Linked DNA regions of Mus musculus: region 1 is reported to be linked to region 2. Evidence: microRNA targets listed by miRTarBase, many of them from high-throughput screens and not tested one by one. Region 2 holds a microRNA gene; the other region holds the end of a gene's coding sequence.

Evidence for each region. The annotated mature microRNA mmu-miR-455-5p reads UAUGUGCCUUUGGACUACAUCG and lies in region 2 at 5,238-5,259, opposite strand. An mRNA with a match to its seed (bases 2 to 7 or 8) in the 3' UTR can be bound and repressed. Matches are read on the target gene's strand: a 7mer-m8 pairs with bases 2 to 8, a 7mer-A1 pairs with bases 2 to 7 and ends in A, and an 8mer does both.
Region 1: miRTarBase lists Calr as a target of mmu-miR-455-5p. The part of its 3' UTR that is shown has no 7-base or 8-base seed match.

What each region holds. Positions count from the first base shown.
Region 1 is chr8:84,836,015-84,844,815 of GRCm38, forward strand. It overlaps Calr (calreticulin), which reads right to left. Exons shown (of 9, transcript NM_007591.3): 5 at 8,560-8,769; 6 at 8,364-8,477; 7 at 8,051-8,194; 8 at 6,930-7,022; 9 at 6,074-6,830. The coding sequence ends at 6,633. Rad23a (RAD23 homolog A, nucleotide excision repair protein) reads right to left here and starts at 4,638. Exons shown (of 9, transcript NM_001297606.2): 1 at 4,480-4,638; 2 at 2,780-2,941; 3 at 2,455-2,636; 4 at 2,259-2,314; 5 at 1,993-2,120; 6 at 1,675-1,753; 7 at 1,446-1,579. The coding sequence starts at 4,551.
Region 2 is chr4:63,253,325-63,262,125 of GRCm38, reverse strand. It overlaps Mir455 (microRNA 455), which reads right to left and starts at 5,275; the gene lies at 5,194-5,275. Col27a1 (collagen, type XXVII, alpha 1) reads right to left here. Exons shown (of 61, transcript NM_025685.3): 8 at 8,438-8,482; 9 at 7,784-7,837; 10 at 7,385-7,429; 11 at 5,013-5,066; 12 at 3,930-3,974.

The DNA of each region.
Region 1 (8,801 bases), not on the chromosome of region 2:
CTCTGAAGGTGCATGCTCTGGCTAAACAGCCATGCAGCCATGGAAATAAGCCGTGGAAATAAATGGTGCCAAGGTGGGGAGATGGAAATAGTGGCAGATGCCTTTAATCCCAGCACTGGGGAGGCAGAGGCAGGTGGATTTGAGTTTTAGGCCAACTTGGTCTACAGAAGAGTTTCAAAGTAGTCAGAGCTCCATGGTGAGACAAATAAAAAAGTTAAATAAATGTGCCGAAACTCGGCATAGTGGTTCATACCTGTAATCCCAGCACTTGGGAGGCTGAAGCAGGAGAATCAACCTGAGTTTTAAGCCAGCCTAACCTACATAGTGAGATTTAAAGGGGGAAAAAACAAAAACAAAGTTCAAACCAATTAACTGCAGATGTGCTAGGTAAGTCCCTAAGGCCTTGTAGGAGGGGCCTACTGTCTGTGGTAGAGCCATGTGTGGCTAAAACACACAGCCTGTAAAAATGTCCTGGGATGGCTCTACTGGGCAAATCTCAGAAGAGCTCTGTGGCAAGAACAGCACAGAGAAGCTGAACGTTCTCCCTGGCAGAGGAAAGCCACCGTGGAACCCAGGCCTGCAGCTGCTAAGAGCAGCAGCCCACTAGTGAGGCACTCAAGCTGCACAACCTTTAGGTTTTCTCTGTTTTGAGATGATCTCACTACTAGAAGGGGCTGGCTTCAAGTTCAGTGATCTTCCTGTCTCAGCTTCCTAAGTGCGGGCTTAATGGTGTACACTACCATGACCAGCCACGGTACCTATTAAATACACTCTACTTGGAAATCCAGAGGTTCTGATGCCACCCTTTGCTTCTTCAGACATCTGACAATTCTCACATTAAAAAGGGCCTTTTCAGCAATCTAGCCTCTAGGTGGACAGTTCATCGGGGGCCCTGTGTAGAATTAAAAGGCTCGAGAAGAGGATGCCAGGACACTGGGTGGGAGAAATGGCTGATATTGGGGTAGAAGCAGAGAGAGTCCCCAGGAGGTTGTGAGAGGCTCAAACAGAGAAGAATGGTCTGAAAACTCAGAGGTCCAGGAAATCCTTTCACAGCTCAGATGAGAGGGTCCCAAGGGACCTGGTATAATGACACAGGTTTAGGTCACCACATAGAGAGAGGGTCAAGGTGAAGGTCAGATCAGGAAGAAGGCCAGGACAGAGGAGCTGCAGACAGAGCAAGAACTGAGAAGAATGCTGTGGCTGGAGTCCAGGACCCAGCCAGACATATGGCAGCCTGCTCTGAGCCTCTGATGTCTTCAGCAGATGGATGCCCATAGCATCCACACCTCCCTAGGAGTCAGGTTACAATGTAACCTTAGAAGTCATCAGGGAGCAGGGGCTTGGCCTCTGCTAGTTCTGCTTTCTCAGAGCAAAGCTACCTCCCTGGGTGATCCCCTAAGGAACTGGGAAGGTGGCTGTCTCAGCTCCCTCACCCTGGGCCGCACCTGCAGGAGCTGAGGGTTTTCCTGACCCAGCTGCTGGAGCAGAGCAGGCAGGAGCGCTGGGTTCTGTTGAATCACTTGCCGCATGTTCTGGAACTGAGGCTGGTCCCGCAGGAACTCCAGGGGGTTCTCCCCTGCTGGTGGCAGGAAGAAGTGTGGTCAGAGCCCTCCCTGCAGGGGCTTCGGAATCCAGACTGCAGATGCCCATGAGGACACCATCCAACCTGCTCACCTGCTTCTGTGGCCGGCTGCTCAGGCGCCTGGCTTTCCTGGACAGAACCATGTTCAGGCTCAGGGCTTCCTGGAATTCCCTGTCAGGGATCCTGCTTTTTAGTTCTTTCAAACAGATCCCCTTCCCCTCTCCCAAGTGAGCAGCCTGACAGGACAGGAAGGTCTCATCCCTGCCCTCCACGTTCTCTGTCCAGCCTCTCTGGGAAGACTTCAATGGCAACACTCAATACACAAAAGCCTATGGGGTAGGCTCCACCTCCACTGCCTGTTGAGGCACGGAGACCTGGAGACTCCCAGGAGGCAGTGATGGCCCCCTCACCGTGAGCAAGTACTCCACAGCTCGGTGGGGGTTGTTGTAGCTGGCCCTCAATGCGGCCACAACCCGCTCCCGCTCGTAGCCCATGGACATGATCTCAGTCAGCATCGTCTCATATTCAGAGCCAGTCACTGTGGAGGGAGCAGCAGGGCCGGGGTCACCAGAGGCACAGGAGGACAGCTCCCAGACCCTCCCAGACCCAGACAAGGCTGTCAAAGGCTGATGGCTGGGGCTTCCAGTCGCCTCTGCCCTGAGGACCACCCACCCACCTAATGTGGAAGCTGCGTCTTCCTCTCGCCCGCTGCTACCTGAAGAGGGAACAGAGCTGCAAATTCAAGAGAGAGAAATCGGACCCTGGCTTCTGGTGGCTTGCCCTCCCCGAAAGTGCCTGGGACCACATAGGTGGGTACTGGAAGGCACAGGAAGACAGAGTGGGTACAGGGTAAGCTACTGCCCTTTCCTTACCCAGAAATGGATTCTGGAGATGTTGTGGTGGTTGACTCCTCTGATGGGCTCTTGTCCTCTCTGCTGGTAGGTGGGGGATGAGACATGCCTGATGCCAGGACTGGAGGGAAAGGTGTGGAGGGCTCCGGGACAGCAGTGGGTGAGGCCTCTGGGGGTGCCGGGATACCCTGGCCAGCTTTGGCCTGTGACAACAAGAAACGAGAATCAGGCAAGCAGCATCCCTATCAAGCCTTGCCACCCTGCCCCATCATGGCCCCACCCTGCCTAAGGCTAATCTCTCCTGGGCATACAAGCTCTTTGCCAGCATCCCAGCTAATCTCCCCACCTTGGTCACCATGACAACCACAAAGTTCTTCTCATCTATATGGTATTCCTTGATGGGAACATCGTCACTCAAGATCTTGCCAGCATAGATGAGTTTCTGTCCAGCCACGGGGAAAGCATCTCTACCCTTCTCAGCTTCTATCTTCTCCTTCAGCACCTTTACCTAGAGTAAGGAGTACAGGTATTAAACACAGAAGTTTAATAGTACAGTGTGCGTGCATTTATAAATAGCACTAACACACCAAGACACCCTCAGTGAAATCCAGGCATAGTTGTGCACACTTATAATCCCAGCACTTAGGAGAGACAAGTGGATCTCTTTAAGTTCCAGGCTAGCCAGGACTATATAGTGAGACCATTTCAAATAGAATACAATGACCATCACGAACCCTTAGGTTCCCTTCTTCTTCCCTTTTGTTTAGAGAAAAAGCTTTGCTTTCAATCCTATGAGATTCCTATTCAATCTATCGAGCTGACAGCAGTCTATTACATGCCAGACACGGGAACTGTTCACCGTGTGTGTATATGTGTGTGTGTGTAATGGTAGTGGTGGTTTGGGGACAGACCCCTAGCTCAGGCCTTGTATATTCAAAAGCTCCATCCCCAACCTGTTTTACAACTTGTTTTACAGAGGCCTGTGGAACAGAACAAACACAAGTCAGTGTTCTCATGAAGAAGACACTGATGTGAGAAGAAAAGCAAACTTGTATTTCCAATGGGATGTGGTTAGGAGGGGAAACAGTAATAAGAAAATGAAACGGTGTATCCATCGCTGGCCTCAAACAGTAACTTTTCTGTACTTACTGAGGTCATCTTTCTTCCCTCCATTTTTGGAACAGGATTTTATTCTGTACTCAACTCCAGGCTTGCCTAAAACATCATAGCCCAGGCTGGCCTAGAACTCCAGGTAATCTCTGCTCAGAGATTATGAACATGACTACCAAGCTTAGACTTCACTGAGGGTACACCAATGGCTTCAACCTATGTTTTGAGAAGGTTTAGGGGAGGTGGCCCAAGACAGCAATATCAGTTACTTGGAGGTTAAGTAAAGAAGGTTCACATGAGCCCAGAAGAACAAGACTAGACTCCACTCTCAAAAAGCAAAACCAAACAAAAGTTCATACAGCATGTTTAGGCTGCTGTTATGTGAAATGGAGAAAAAAAAAAATCTTGTCACTGTCATTATTGGCTGTGACCGTGGCAAAGTTCCTTAACTCCGTGGTTGTCAAAAGGGGAAAGTCAGGAGTCCCCAAACGACAACACTGTTTTGCAGACTCAGCAAGATGACACTAATACTCTGGTAAAGAATAAACTGGTAAAGAATAAACGGCCAACAAAGACGGACCACCAAAACTATTAAGATTAAGACCATTTATTATTATCATCATTGTAGTCACCAGTCGGCACCTCGTTGGCACTGAGGGCAAACTGTGCCACCTGAGCAGCTTGCAGGCTGGGAACGCGGAGCCCGCAGCTGACACGGGAGCCAGACCTGGGAACTCCCAGGGACTGGCCCGGGAACAGCGCCCGAGCCGCCGGGGCAGGGCAGGGCCGATCGGGGGGATCCGAGGAGGTCGGGCTGCTGGGGGAGGGCAGGGCCTGGCCACGGCGTCCTCTCCGCCCCTCCCGTTGGATCCCGGCATCCCTGCCCCCACCCACCCCGGCACCCGGTCGCTCCCGCCCCCGGGCTCCGGCCCGCACCGTCTCGTCAGGTTCCATGCGGATCTTGAAGGTCTGCTGCTGCAACGTTTTAAGGGTGATGGTGACGGCCATGGCGGGGCCGGAGCAATGCGGCAGCCCCGGGATCCTCGTACTACATGCAACTCACGCCGCCGCCATCTTAGCGCCCAGCCGCGCCGCGCCAAGCACTTCCGGGGCAAGTGTGCAGCGCCCGCCGATCGTCAGCGCCGGTGACACCCTCCTCGACCTCTAGAGCATGCGCGGCTGCACCTTACCTTAGACATGCGCAATCTTAGCTTTGTGAGCTTTTGCTGTGTGCACCAGCATTCCGCTGTCTTGGTGACATCATTTCTGCTAACAGTGATGTCATTATACCCACAAAATGGCTCCTAAGGACTTTTAAAGTTTTTAAGGTGTTTGTTGTAGATTTCTGCTCCTAAGTTATTTTTCATACATTCTGCCTATTTCAAGTGACCCAATTTGGATCTGGTCAAAATAAAAGGAATCTTAGCAGAGGACTGCCTAGAAGTTACCATCAATCAATGTAGAGGAGGGCAACTATGTGACCCCATTTTCAAGGACCATCTTAATTTTTGGAATAAATTTACACTTCTAGTTCATGAGTTCCCCACATCTTTGTAATCCTGCAATGACCTACCTATTCATCCAAACATTTTCAAGGTTCTTTTATATTAAATATGTAATTCTCCCCTCCATAAATTTTCCTTACTTACACCAACTCTTAAGGTACCTACATTTTTCGTGGGGGGAAGGGGTAGTATTCATGAAGCTTTAGACCACCCTCACATACCAAAAAGTAATGAAAATGTCAGACTCAGGATAGGGCAGTTCATCAGGGTGATTTAAGGGACTCTCAAACAGAACTAACATCACCATCCTCTTAGATGCTTGCTTTGCCCAGTGTTTCTATCCACACCAATGATCAGGCAATTAACCAAGGCCTGCCTCCCTCCCTTCACTTGAGTCTAGACTCCAGAATTGAAAGCTAGATCACAACTTTCTTGTGAAGAACACAGGCTTCCTCCTGCCCATTCTTCAACCTACTACACTAGAGTATAAAAGGCAGCCTTGAGACTCAACAATGAGTCTCTTCTTTTCCTTGTGGTGGGGATGGAACCCAGGCCATGCTAGCTAAGTGTCCAACTGAACTACATAACCCAATCCTGGAATCTATCTTTATCAGCTCAGTCCTAGAACCATGGGCCCTTGGGGAAAGTAGATCACTGTCCCTGAGCTCAGTCAGTCCCTTTGACTATTATCTACCAGCATGCACCCCACTACTGTGAACTTTGCTCAGCTTTCCTAGGTGTCAGTCCAACAGATCCATCCCACTTTTAACCAAGATGGCTAATATTTGAATTCACTAAATTCTAGTCAGTCTGTCAATGAGGTCTGTGCTAGAATCAAAACTTACACGTCTATGAGTTTAGGATCAAGACCTGATGGCTACTCTCCCATTTAGAGACTATGGGATACATATAAATGACATTTCTGAGACTCTGCAAACTCCAGTAGCTGAAACATACGTCACCCGCACCTGAGAAAGGCTGCTTTTAGCTCCTGATGTACATCCTCCCAGAGAAGGAGACACAATAGGGAAGACACAAAACTTAATTTAATAGAAATTTTGTTTGTAGTTCTTACACTCTCAGTGTGAGCTGTGCTAGAACTGGCTGCCCCACAAGTGGCCCAGTCCTGGGGGCAAGGGAGAAAGGGGATGAGAAGAGCCCCATTCTTCCTCAGTGCGGGGGGAGGGAAAACACCACCCCCTTCTCCTGCCCTCCTCTGAGATGCAGGAAGGAGAGCAGATGAAATCTCAAGCCTAGGGCTTCTCCTCTACACCCCTGTTCCTAGAGTTGGAGGGTAGTGACCAAAAGATGGAGAAAGGGAGGGACAGAAGGAAAAGATGTTGATTCAAAAATGAGAAACCAGATGAGGGCTGAAGGAGAATTAAAGACAAACACCAGTAAAAAAAAAAAGGGGGGGGGGTAATGGGGGAGGCAGGGGAACAAAATCAGAATCTACCCCAGATCTGAACCTGCCTGGAAAAAATGAAAAGTTCTTGAGTCTCATAGAGACATTATTGGGAGCAGCCAGCTCTGCGGCAGGGTGTTCAGGCCTCAGTCCAGCCCTGAAGGCAGGTGGTGTGGCCTCTACAGCTCATCCTTGGCTTGGCCAGGGGATTCTTCCTCATCTTCCTCCTTCTCATCTTCTTCGTCCTCATCTTCATCTCTGTCATCATCATCCTCTTTATCCTCAGCTTCTTCTTCCTCTTTACGCTTCTTGTCCTCTTCTTCTTCCTTAAGCCTCTGCTCCTCATCCTGCTTGTCCTTCATCTGCTTCTCTGCAGCCTGTGAGGACCAACCAACCATATCTTTTAATACCTGGCTCAAATCTGTCTGCCAGTCCTCCCAGATGACCCCTAGAGTAAACAAAGAGCTCTGACCCACCTTGGTAACACCCCACGTCTCATTGCCAAACTCCTCTGCATAGGCCTCATCATTGGTGATGAGGAAATTGTCAAAGATTGTCCCGGACTTGACCTGGGAAAGAACGGAAAGACAGGTGGTCAGCAGTGACTTCTGGCAGTCCTGGCTCTGGACAGGCCTCTATTCCCACCTTTCCTAGTCTTTGAATCCACCAAAATGTGTGGGGCAGCAGGGTGTGGTAGGACATGCCTTAGATCCCAGCTCTGAGAAGACAGACTACTTGTGGAGGTCCAAGCCAACAGGATTATAGTGAGATCATGTCCAAAAGAAAAGTGGGTGGGACAGGCAAGTATGTAAGTTGATGCACTGAGAAGGTAGGCAGAAGTAAAGAATTTTAGGCCAGTCAGTACATACCATACATACATACACCAAGACCAGCCTGCCTGGCTGGGGGTTGCGGGGTGGGGGGAGCTGTGATCCTGGGAGCATTACAGTTTAGAAGCCATGCTTCCAGAACTCACACCCTAATGACCTGGATGGACTACTGGCTTCACTTTCCACACTACTTTCTCTATAAAACAGGCATTCTGGGGCTCTCTTTTTCCAACTCATGCCAAGAACTGGCCTAGACACAAAACATCAACAACAAAAACTCGGTACCAATGTTTCTTAAAATCTTATTTGGTTATGTAGCCAGGGTGGGCAGTGAGCAGAGCTGTAACTGGGTAATCCCAGGTGATTTTGCAGGGGCACTTTGGCAAAAGACTTAGCACATGCCAAGTAGCCCTGCAGAAAAGAGAAAAGTGCTCAGTGGAGGCAGAGATAGCTCAGCAAATGAAGGCACTTGGTTGCCAAGATTTTTTTAATGACCAGAGTTGATTCCAAGGACTCACATAGTGAAGAGAACCAACTTCTCTGATAAGTTTTCCTCTGACCTCTATATAACCATACACATAAAAATGCTTTAACAATAAACCATCTTTCTTGAGTAAGAAAAAGGAGATAAAACAGGAAATGCCTCATTAGGCGGACCATTTCAGAACACCTTAGGGTTGGTGCCTCTGCCTGTTCTTCCCTCCAGATAAACCAGTATGATCCTGACTTGAGGTCTGCCAGGAACCCTTGTCTTTCCTATGTCTCACCTGCCAGAGATCTAGGCCCAGTACAGCAAAACTATCATAGGCATAGATATTTGCATCGGGGGAGTATTCAGGGTTGTCAATTTCTGGGTGTATCCAGGTACCCTTGTAATCTGGGTTGTCAATTTGACGTGGTTTCCACTCGCCCTGTAGAAGAAAACCAGATGAATAGAGAGGCAGACACATCCCACAGTACAGCCAACAACCCCGACTAGGACCCCAAGGCCTATCTTGGTTTGTTTCTGCAGTGCAACATTAATCATAGCACCCAAGGAAACATCCCACCAGGGAGCCACACCCAAACACCCAAGCCTACCTTGTATTCAGGATTTTGAATCACTGGTGGTTCCCACTCTCCATCCATCTCTTCATCCCAGTCCTCAGGCTTCTTAGCATCAGGGTCAGGGATGTGCTCTGGCTTGTCCCAGTCCTAGGAGTACACGTGGAGGTCAAAGTGGACCCAGATGTCCTCCATTCTATGACAGAGGTGGAGCTACCCTCCCAACACTAACCTCAGGCTTGGAATCTGTGGGGTCATCGATCTTGGCTCGTTCATCCCAGTCTTCCGGCTTGGCAGCATCAGGGTCCTTTATCTTCTTGGGTGGCAGAAAGTCCCAATCATCCTCCAAGGAGCCTGACTCCACCTGGCTGTTGTCAATTTTCACCTCATAGGTGTTGTCTGGCCGCACAATCAGTGTGTATAGGTGTGTGAATTCATCATCCTGAAGAGGGAAGGAGGTGAGCAGTCCCTCCC
Region 2 (8,801 bases):
CTGGAGTCATCTGTCAGATGGGCTGTGATATGGGACATCTTTTGAAGGCACTGACTTTTTCTTTGTGTTGGTCGTGAAGGCTGGGACAGGGTAGGAAGGCGGTCTCTCATGGAATAAGGACAAAGTGTAGCAGCATCCTGGCTCGCTCCACATGGTCCCAGGGGCAAGGCCTGGTGATTGCTAGCTTTATTCTCTAGGTCCAGAGTCTAGAGGAGACCAGGGCCATCTGGTCTTCTCTAGGCATCTGTGTGATAGGAAGACGTTCACTGTGTTGATTGAGGGCTGATCCCAAAATATATGCTAGCCTGGCCTGACCCACTGACAAGACTGGGGAGGAAGAGGATGTGTTGGTATATCCTGGGCACAAGGCCGGTAGTTTCTAGGTAGCAACACACAGGGCAGCTCCAAGCTGACCCACCACTCCCCTCAGACCCAGTAGTCAGGCCAACACCCCTGAGCTACCCTGGCTCTACCACCCAGAAGGCTCTAAGAATCTGAGTTATGTCTGCTTTCCTTCAGAGACTGTTAAGACCAGGGAGAGTCTTAAGACATAGCCTTCTGAAGGTTGAGTTCAAACCGCAGTGAGACCCTGTTGCAGTTCAGCAGTAGACTGGGCCAGCCTATGAGTGACAATAGACACAGCCATGACAGTAACAACCAACTGTAGCAGACTCATGAAAGGGACTTTGTGCAGACCTTGTTTTAGATATCAAGAGACCCAGAGATGTTAAGAAACCCGTCCAAAGTCACACAGCTTTGGGATAGCATGGTTTGTATTTGAATCCAGGTGGTCTGGCCCCGGAACTGTTCTCCTGGTATTTATGTAGTGGCATCAAGCACAAACAGAAGAATTAGAAGTCCAGCATCGCAAAGGGCCATTGTGGCTCCAGACTGATGAATATTAAATCTGGTTCCGCCTGGACATAGATGATGGCCCTGGGGACCAGCTCTCCTTCTCCATCTCTAGCGTTGCTTCTGCTGACGGGCAACCTCTAGGACTCTAGGCCTTTTATTTTAAAAAGACCGTTAGGAAACAATGAAGCTTTAAAGATGCTGGAACAATTGAAGGTGGTCTGAGATGGAGGAAGCCCATAGCTTAAGTGAACAGCAGTTTGTTGCCCCAGTAGGAAACTGAGATTCAAAGCTTCTACCACTCCACTCCCGAGCAGACAGCCACATCTACCAGCAACCCAAGGCCTCTATTCCTTGCCCAGCTGGCCATCCAGTGCCTACTGGCTGTGCCTGATGTATGCGTGATGACTGCACATTAGCCTATGGCAGCAGGCACTACCTTCTTCCGTTGCCCCAACCCCTGACTGCAGCAGCCTGGCCCATGGCCCAAGGAATGAACTTGGCTCACTGCCGGGCGTGCTACGTGGCTCCTCCGCTTTCCCAGGTTGGGCCCCTCTGGGACTGAACGCCTCGCCTTATACTGTGAGCAGAACCAGGCTGGGCGGAAGAAAATAGACTAGGGCAAGGCTCCACCCTCACTCTGGATGGCAACAGTTCACAGGGCCAGAGGTGTGGACAGCAACATGCCAAGGCCCAGACATCTAAAAGCATTTCAGCCAAGCTCGGGCCTCCAGAATCTGCTCCTCTGATACAGAGGGTGGATGCAGGACCAGCGCAGCCTGAGCATTCAACAGATGACCTACTGAGCTTCCAGGCTCTGTCTCCTAGCCTATAAACCAGCCACCTCTTTGTGCCCTAGTCAAGACCAAGCTAAGCATCATTAACAATTCTCCGGCAAGCTGATGTTTATCATTATATCACTTGTCAGGGGTGGTACCCACCACGGGACTATTCAGCAGCCTCCAGGAGGAGCCACCGAACTTAGAGAGCTATAAGAACAAAATATTTAATTTCTGGAAGTCCTTCCACAGGTCAAGCTTGCATGCTTTCTACTGTGCTTGAAATACGCTGATAGGGAAGGCCTCTGAATTTCCCAGATCCCTTGTTTCATGATACAGGTCATATACTACTCTGCCCTGTGAAGGAAACTAGAAAATCTCTCCAGTTATGCTATCAAGGGAGAAAGAGATGGAGACAGACAGGCAGAAGTCTTACGGAGACTCACAGGCCACCAACACCGGAGGCTCACATGTAAATGAAAAACCAGACCCTCCCCCTCATCATTTTGGGCCTCAGTTTCCCCACATGGGGATATATACTCTCTCCTTCCCTATCTGATGACTAGGAAAAACCCAGGGCAGGAATTCCTGACCTGAACCAGATAGCTGTGTGTCCTCAGGCAAGCTCTCAGCATCTCTGAGTCACAGAGTGGGAGACAGAGCCAAGCCTGGGTCAACTGATCTAGTGTTGGGACTGCCTTCCTGACTCTGTGCAGGCCTGGTCACAACAGGCAGATCCAGGCCCTAAACAGCATGGTAGGGGTAGGAATCCCCAGTACACTGATGAGAGAGAGAGAGACAGAGACAGAGATAGAGACAGAGAGACAGACAGAGAGAGACAGAGAAAGAGAGAGACAGAGACAGAAAGAAAGGGAGAGAGAGACAGAGAGAGAGACAGACAGAGACAGAGAGAAAGAGAGAGAGAGACACAGAGAGAGAGAGACAGACAGACAGAGAGAGGCAGAGACAGAGACAGAAAGAAAGAGAGAGAGACAGAGAGAGAGACAGACAGAGACAGAGAGAAAGAGAGAGACACAGAGAGAGAGAGAGAGAGAGACAGACAGACAGACAGACAGAGACAGAGAGAGACAGAGACAGAGAGGGAGAGAGAGAGAGCGCACTAGATAAGAAGAATCACTATAGCCTCTTTCTAGACTCAATGAGAGATTCTGGCTAGCATGTGGCTCAGCCGTCTGCTGTGCGTAACCCTGAACCAGCCGGGCCAGAAGTCCTGCCAGCACTAGCTAACTGCCAACATTTTATATTTGGACCTTCTTCCAAAATTGCACACCCCCTTTCTAGCATGAGAGGTGAGGCAAGGGTGAGAACTGTAGATTTCGCTGGAGGAAAAGGGAGTTGATGGGGAGAAAAGAGACCCTGTGGGAAACGCCCTGCATTATCAATGGTCTTAGGTTCAGATCCAGACTTGGCTCCCTATTTTCTGTGTGACCCTGGTCAAGTGGCTTGCATTCCCTAGTCAGTGGTAGGTCTGATTAGATGACCTGCAGGATGGCAGCAAAGAGCTAAGCCACCAACTGGGATAGGACCCGAAGAAAGTTGTCTTGGTGACAGTCACAAGGCCTCACCCAGAGGTCTATCTCTTAGAGACTCAGATTCCCCTTACAGAATCAATGGCTTTCCTAACAGAGTCAAGGAAACCTACTTTTATGATATTGGTACCATTTGGTATTCCCAAGAGTCAGTCTTGGATGTGCCCTGCTCCAGCTGTTCAGGGGCTGCAATGCCTTGGACACCTTTTGGGGCCTTGTCTTTCTCTTTATGCCCTATAGATGGTTGGCAAGAGGAAAACTAATCCCTTATGGCATTGAAGCGATCTAAAGAGGGCTCGTGGATTTGGGTGGGGGTCAATACTGAACCATTTCTGGGATTCCTCTTGAGGCCTACCATACTCCCTAGTCATCTAGCCTTGCATGTGCATAAATGAAGTCAGAGTGGGAGACCTGACACTGGGGACCCTGTGCTGTCCAGGGGAGGACTTAGGTCCCCTAGTGCCTGCTGGCCACTAATAAAAACATCGGGACAGACACCCCAGACGTAAAGCTTTACCCGCAAGCTGCTGAAGCATTTAGGGATAGAGGAGCCACCTGGAGCAGCCAGAACTCCGGGCAGCATCCCAGGCCAGTGATTGCCCCTGGTTACCCTGCCCTACACCCAGAGCAGAGAAACAGAGCTGAGAGGCAGACAGTGCCAGGTCTCAGGGACCACCAGTGCAGTACGCGGCCGGCAGGAGGTGGGACTACCCGTAGAGTCTGCGTAATAGACACGGAAAATCTTTACCGGCCTACCCATCTCGCCCCTCTTGCCAGGAACGCCAGGGAGACCCTGTAGGGGAGAGAGGAGAAAGATCATAATCAAACTCCAGGGGGCACCCACCGCACCCAGAATAAAGTCCCAAGGAGTCTGGAAGGCTTGCCCAGAGCATGGTGCGAGCTGCATGCTCATTGCATGGATGCGGGTTCGGGAACTCATAATCACCTACTGGGAGAGTGCTAAAGGAAGCCGCCAGCACTCCTAGCATTCAGCAGGTGCTCACTAAGTGTACCTTCTTCTGCTTCCCTGTAATGCCCTGTATTTAGCTTAATGACGGGGTTACAACTGAACTTCCAAGTACAGGCTTGGAGGAAGGAAGGAGCATGTATTAAAGTCGCCAGCCCTAAAGGCCTGTGGGCAGCTCTTCCCTGACTTGGACACTTGGTCTGGAGGGCAGTGTATCTTGGGAAGTCCTGAAGCCAGTCTATACACATCCCCAGGACCCAGGACTGAGCCAGGCATCCTTGATGTCCCCATCTCTGCTGCCACCAAACTACCATGTTCCTGCCTGGTATCCCTGGCCTGGCATCTGACACTTGGCTCTGTCCCCACCCTTCTATGAGACAAGCCTCACAACACTTTATAAAGCAGCCAAGTGCCGTGCCAGTGATGAGTGGATGCCTGTGCCAAAGGGAGGAGAGAGACGACTTGGCGCTCTGTGGGTGGCCTCTGTCATAGCTACTCAGCTCTGTCACGGTGGCAGGAAAGCAGCCATAAACAGCCGTGATCGATAAGCAGAGCTACGGTCAATAAAACTTTATTTACAAAACAGTCAACTGGCCATCCTTGCAGAACATATAAATGCCTGTGGCTGGTTAGAGACTCCTCTGCTGAGTCCCTTCTCTAGCCTCACTGCCCTGCGTACCTAGAACACCAAGCCTGGGGCACCCCTGCCTTGTCCGGGACCACCAGTGCTATAACAGTGAAGTATACACATGCTGCTTCCTGGGCCTCACCCTACTTAGGTACTCCCAGCATGGACGTCATCAGCAGGCAGTCTGCTATCGCAGAAGAAGTAGAGGGTGTCGGTACACAGACAAATGTACTTACCCGCTCTCCATCCGACCCTGGCAGGCCAAAGAGCCCCGGAAGACCAATGTAACCCTAGAAAAGAGCAGGTGGGGATCAGAGAGGTTAAGCATAGGGTGCAGTCAGCCCAGCCTCCCTGCTGCCATCCCACGGCCCGGTCCTCTGTGGTGGTGGCTCCAGGGGTCCTCGATGACATAGACCTTGAGGCAAGTGTATATGCCCGTGGACTGCATGGTGCTGCGTTCACGATGTAGTCCAAAGGCACATACGCTCACACCAGGGAGGGCAGCACAGGATGGCAGAGGCCCGGCACCCAGCTCGCGACCTGTGGAAGGAAGCTCGTACCCAGGTTAGATGCTGCAGGGCTGGGAGATCTGCCTGCCTTGTGGATGCTCCCTGCAATGGTTGCTCCTATAGTTCAGAGGTCCTGGATCTGGGGGCTTGCATCTACCCTGGTTGACAAATGCTGCCAGTCAGCATGCCCCCCCCCCCCAGAGAGCTGACTCTGTGCCAGGCACATGGGTGATCCTGAGTTAACCCTGGCAAGAACCCCGGAGGCTAGAGATGATGCCAATTTGTATTCAGCTGATTTGTGTTAAGCTCAAAGGTCATCTGGGCCCAATGGACTTAAGGACCCAGGCATGTCACCACTTTACGTGGGTGGCCCAGAGTGAATGTAGCTGGTCTTTAGTCCCCAAGTCTGAGTCCCCCCTGAGTCCCCAAGCAGGCCTACCCTGCCTACCTCATGGTGTTAGAATCATGACATACATAGCCCATCTCAAGGGCTCTCTTTCCTAGTACCAAACATGCAGATCAGAGCAAGCTCATCCCCCCAGCATCCTTCAGTATCCTGATAACAGGGCTTCTCTCTTTGCCTCCCTGTCCTCTGATAACTTCTCAAGGACCAGGATCCAGCACAGGGTTTGTACCAATAGAAGCTATGCAGCAGTTTAATGATAACTACAGCAAAAGCAACTGCTTGCCAAGCCACCTGCCAGGCCTGACTCAATGCTTCACGCACACTGAGCACACTTTGACACTGTGAGAAAGTTATCATCTATAAAGTTCACACTTGAGAATCTCACAATCAAGTTATAAAAGCGGTGGGGGTGGGGGGGGGCGGGTAGATTGCAAAAAATCTTATAGAATGTTTTGAGTTTATTATTTCTTATTGAGTTGGGCTGAATCCATAGCTATCTATCCTAGGACAAATGCAGCCCACAAGCTACGGACTGGACACATGATTACATTATCGCATCCTTACAACGCTCCTGGTAGGGGTTATTAAAATTCGCTACAGCTGAGAACATCTAGGCCCAGAGAGGTAAGATGATCTTCCCATGGCCACACAGCTGTAGCATAGCAGAACTGGTCTCTGAATTCAAGCTCTGTGGTTCCTAGGCCCACACCCCTAACCAGTGCGCCATGAACACACAATTGAGGAAGACTGGTACCAGCTCTTCTTCCCCAAATACCTCAGTAACCAGCTTGATCAGCAACCACCATCTTAACCACTATACCCTGCCTCTTCCATATAGAATTCATGGCTTGTGTTCACAGATGAGTGTCCTTGGAGAAGCCTAGTGACCATCTGGGGTCAGTGACAGAGTCAGAGACTGGGGTGTCTTAGTCAGTCATGCAGACTCCAAGGCTGGTGTGGGTAGTACTCCTTCACACACAAGAGAAAGAAGAGGAAGGTGATTGCCTTGGACTCTGGGTGCTCTCTTCAGATTCTAGATATTCCCTCTGAGGCCACTACTCATGGGAGCCTCAGGAGAGAGACCCAGAATCCCAGAACAAGAGTGGCCCTGACCCTGCATGCCATGTAATGTCCAAGGGACCTTGCCTTCCCATGTTGTGCCCACCCTCGTAACTGCTAGACTGCTACAGAGATTAAGGCCAGTAATGGGTCCATATTGGCCCCCCAACCTACTATACTATACTATAATATAATATAATATAATATAATGTAATATATATAATATAGCTTTGGCTCGGAAGAGGATATGTCACTGAGGACCTGCCCAGATTGACGGCCATGTGATCTACTTGCTGCTGAGCATTTCTTGAGAAGCAGCAGGCCTGACTTCAGGAGTCCAGTCTTAGCAGCATCCTGGCATGCATCATCAATAGAGCCACCCATGCCCACAGAGACCCACGTCGATTGTCTTCTACCTCCGTCTCCCTACTCAGCATACCCAGAACCTTCGCTGTCTCCTTTCTGGGAGAGCCCATGTGGAGTGCCTCCTTGGCAGTTCAAGGTAGATGGAGTTCAGTGGTTGTCAGGCCCTAGCCCACAGTCTCTCATATCCCTGATCTCCCATCAACCCATAGAGCGCCCAGTGATGTCTATGCATGTGCCACCTGGGTGGGACTAGCCAAAAAGCACTTACCCTGCTGCCTTTGGGGCCAGGGTCTCCTACAGGTCCAGGGAACCCCTGAAACAGAAATATGGGGGGCGAGGACATATGGAGACGCCCTCCCTGCTGCCAATGTCCCAGGGCCAGTCTTATCTTGGGCTTCAGCTGTCCTTAGAAACATCCATGGTATGGGTTGAACCAGAGGTGACTCAGGGCAAGACTGGAGAGGAGTCTTGGGAACCCCTTCTCTAAGCCCTAGTTCTCCTGTAGAACCTCTGAGCCTGCAGCATTGTGGCCAGGTCTAGTCCCTGGCCAGCCCTTTCCTTAGGGTCTGCCCCCAGGGGCAGTTTATTGGCCCCAGCCCACATCCTCCCTCTCCTTGGGGCACTGTGGCCACCACCATGGGCAGGGCTTCCAGAGCATATACTGCACCTGCCTGCCAGGGTAACCTTTGGCCCCTGGACTGCCCTCAGGTCCTGGCTGCCCCTGCGAAGGAACAAGAGAAATGTTAGGAAAGGTGAGGCCCTTTCTAGCTCAGTCAGGGTCCTGGGGTTGGGGAGGGTACCTACAGTGGACAAGGAGGAGGCAAGAATGTGAGGCAAAGGGGGAAAGACATCAAGCCGTGTGTGCTGGGCCCCAAGCCCACCTCTCTTGAAACTGTTCAGACCAGCTCTTGGGACAAATCTTTCTGCTCCAGGCTCAAAATAAGAAAGCACAGATGAGGGCTGGCTGGATGTTCCCTGGCAGGGCTGCTGTTTGAGTTGGGCCAGGAGGCCAGAATTCCTGCAAACCCCAAGGCGAATGGAAGGGATAATATCGCCTAACATTGCCGGGGACAGGCCAGCTATTCATGGCTCTAACCAGAGTCCAGGGGCTTCTGCCAGCCCTGGGCTGGGCTCGCAGTACAGACACTGGCTCTTCTAAGAGAGCGTGGCTGACTGGGGAAGGGCGGGGGTGATGGTCAGGGGAAGTCCTAAGGCCTTGTTCTGGGGTTCCAGGGAAGGGAGTCCAGGGAGGAGGCTGGTACCAAGCAGGAACTGGAAGAAGGAAAATCAGGCAGTACAGTGCAGTGCAGGCAGGCCTCACCTGTTCTCCAGGGTGCCCTGCTGCTCCAGGATGGCCCTTGTGTCCCTGTGGGGGTGAAGAATTGTCATCAGGCAATAGGCTTTATGGTAGGGATATGGTACACACTTCCTGCATGGATGCAGGCCAGATGGAGTTCACTGAATCCTCTGGAGTCATCTTTTGTTAGAGCAGAGGATGGGGGTGGAGTGAGAGACTATGACCCAGTGGTCCACATCCCAGCCTTGCCTTGGAAGTTCAGAAAGTTGGAGGCAGTCAGGAACAGGAGCAAAGGGTCTGTCACATAAGGAACAGGGACAAGGGCGATCTGGAACACACACGGTATCTGCCACTCCAGTTCATGTACCATGACCATATCACCTAGAGA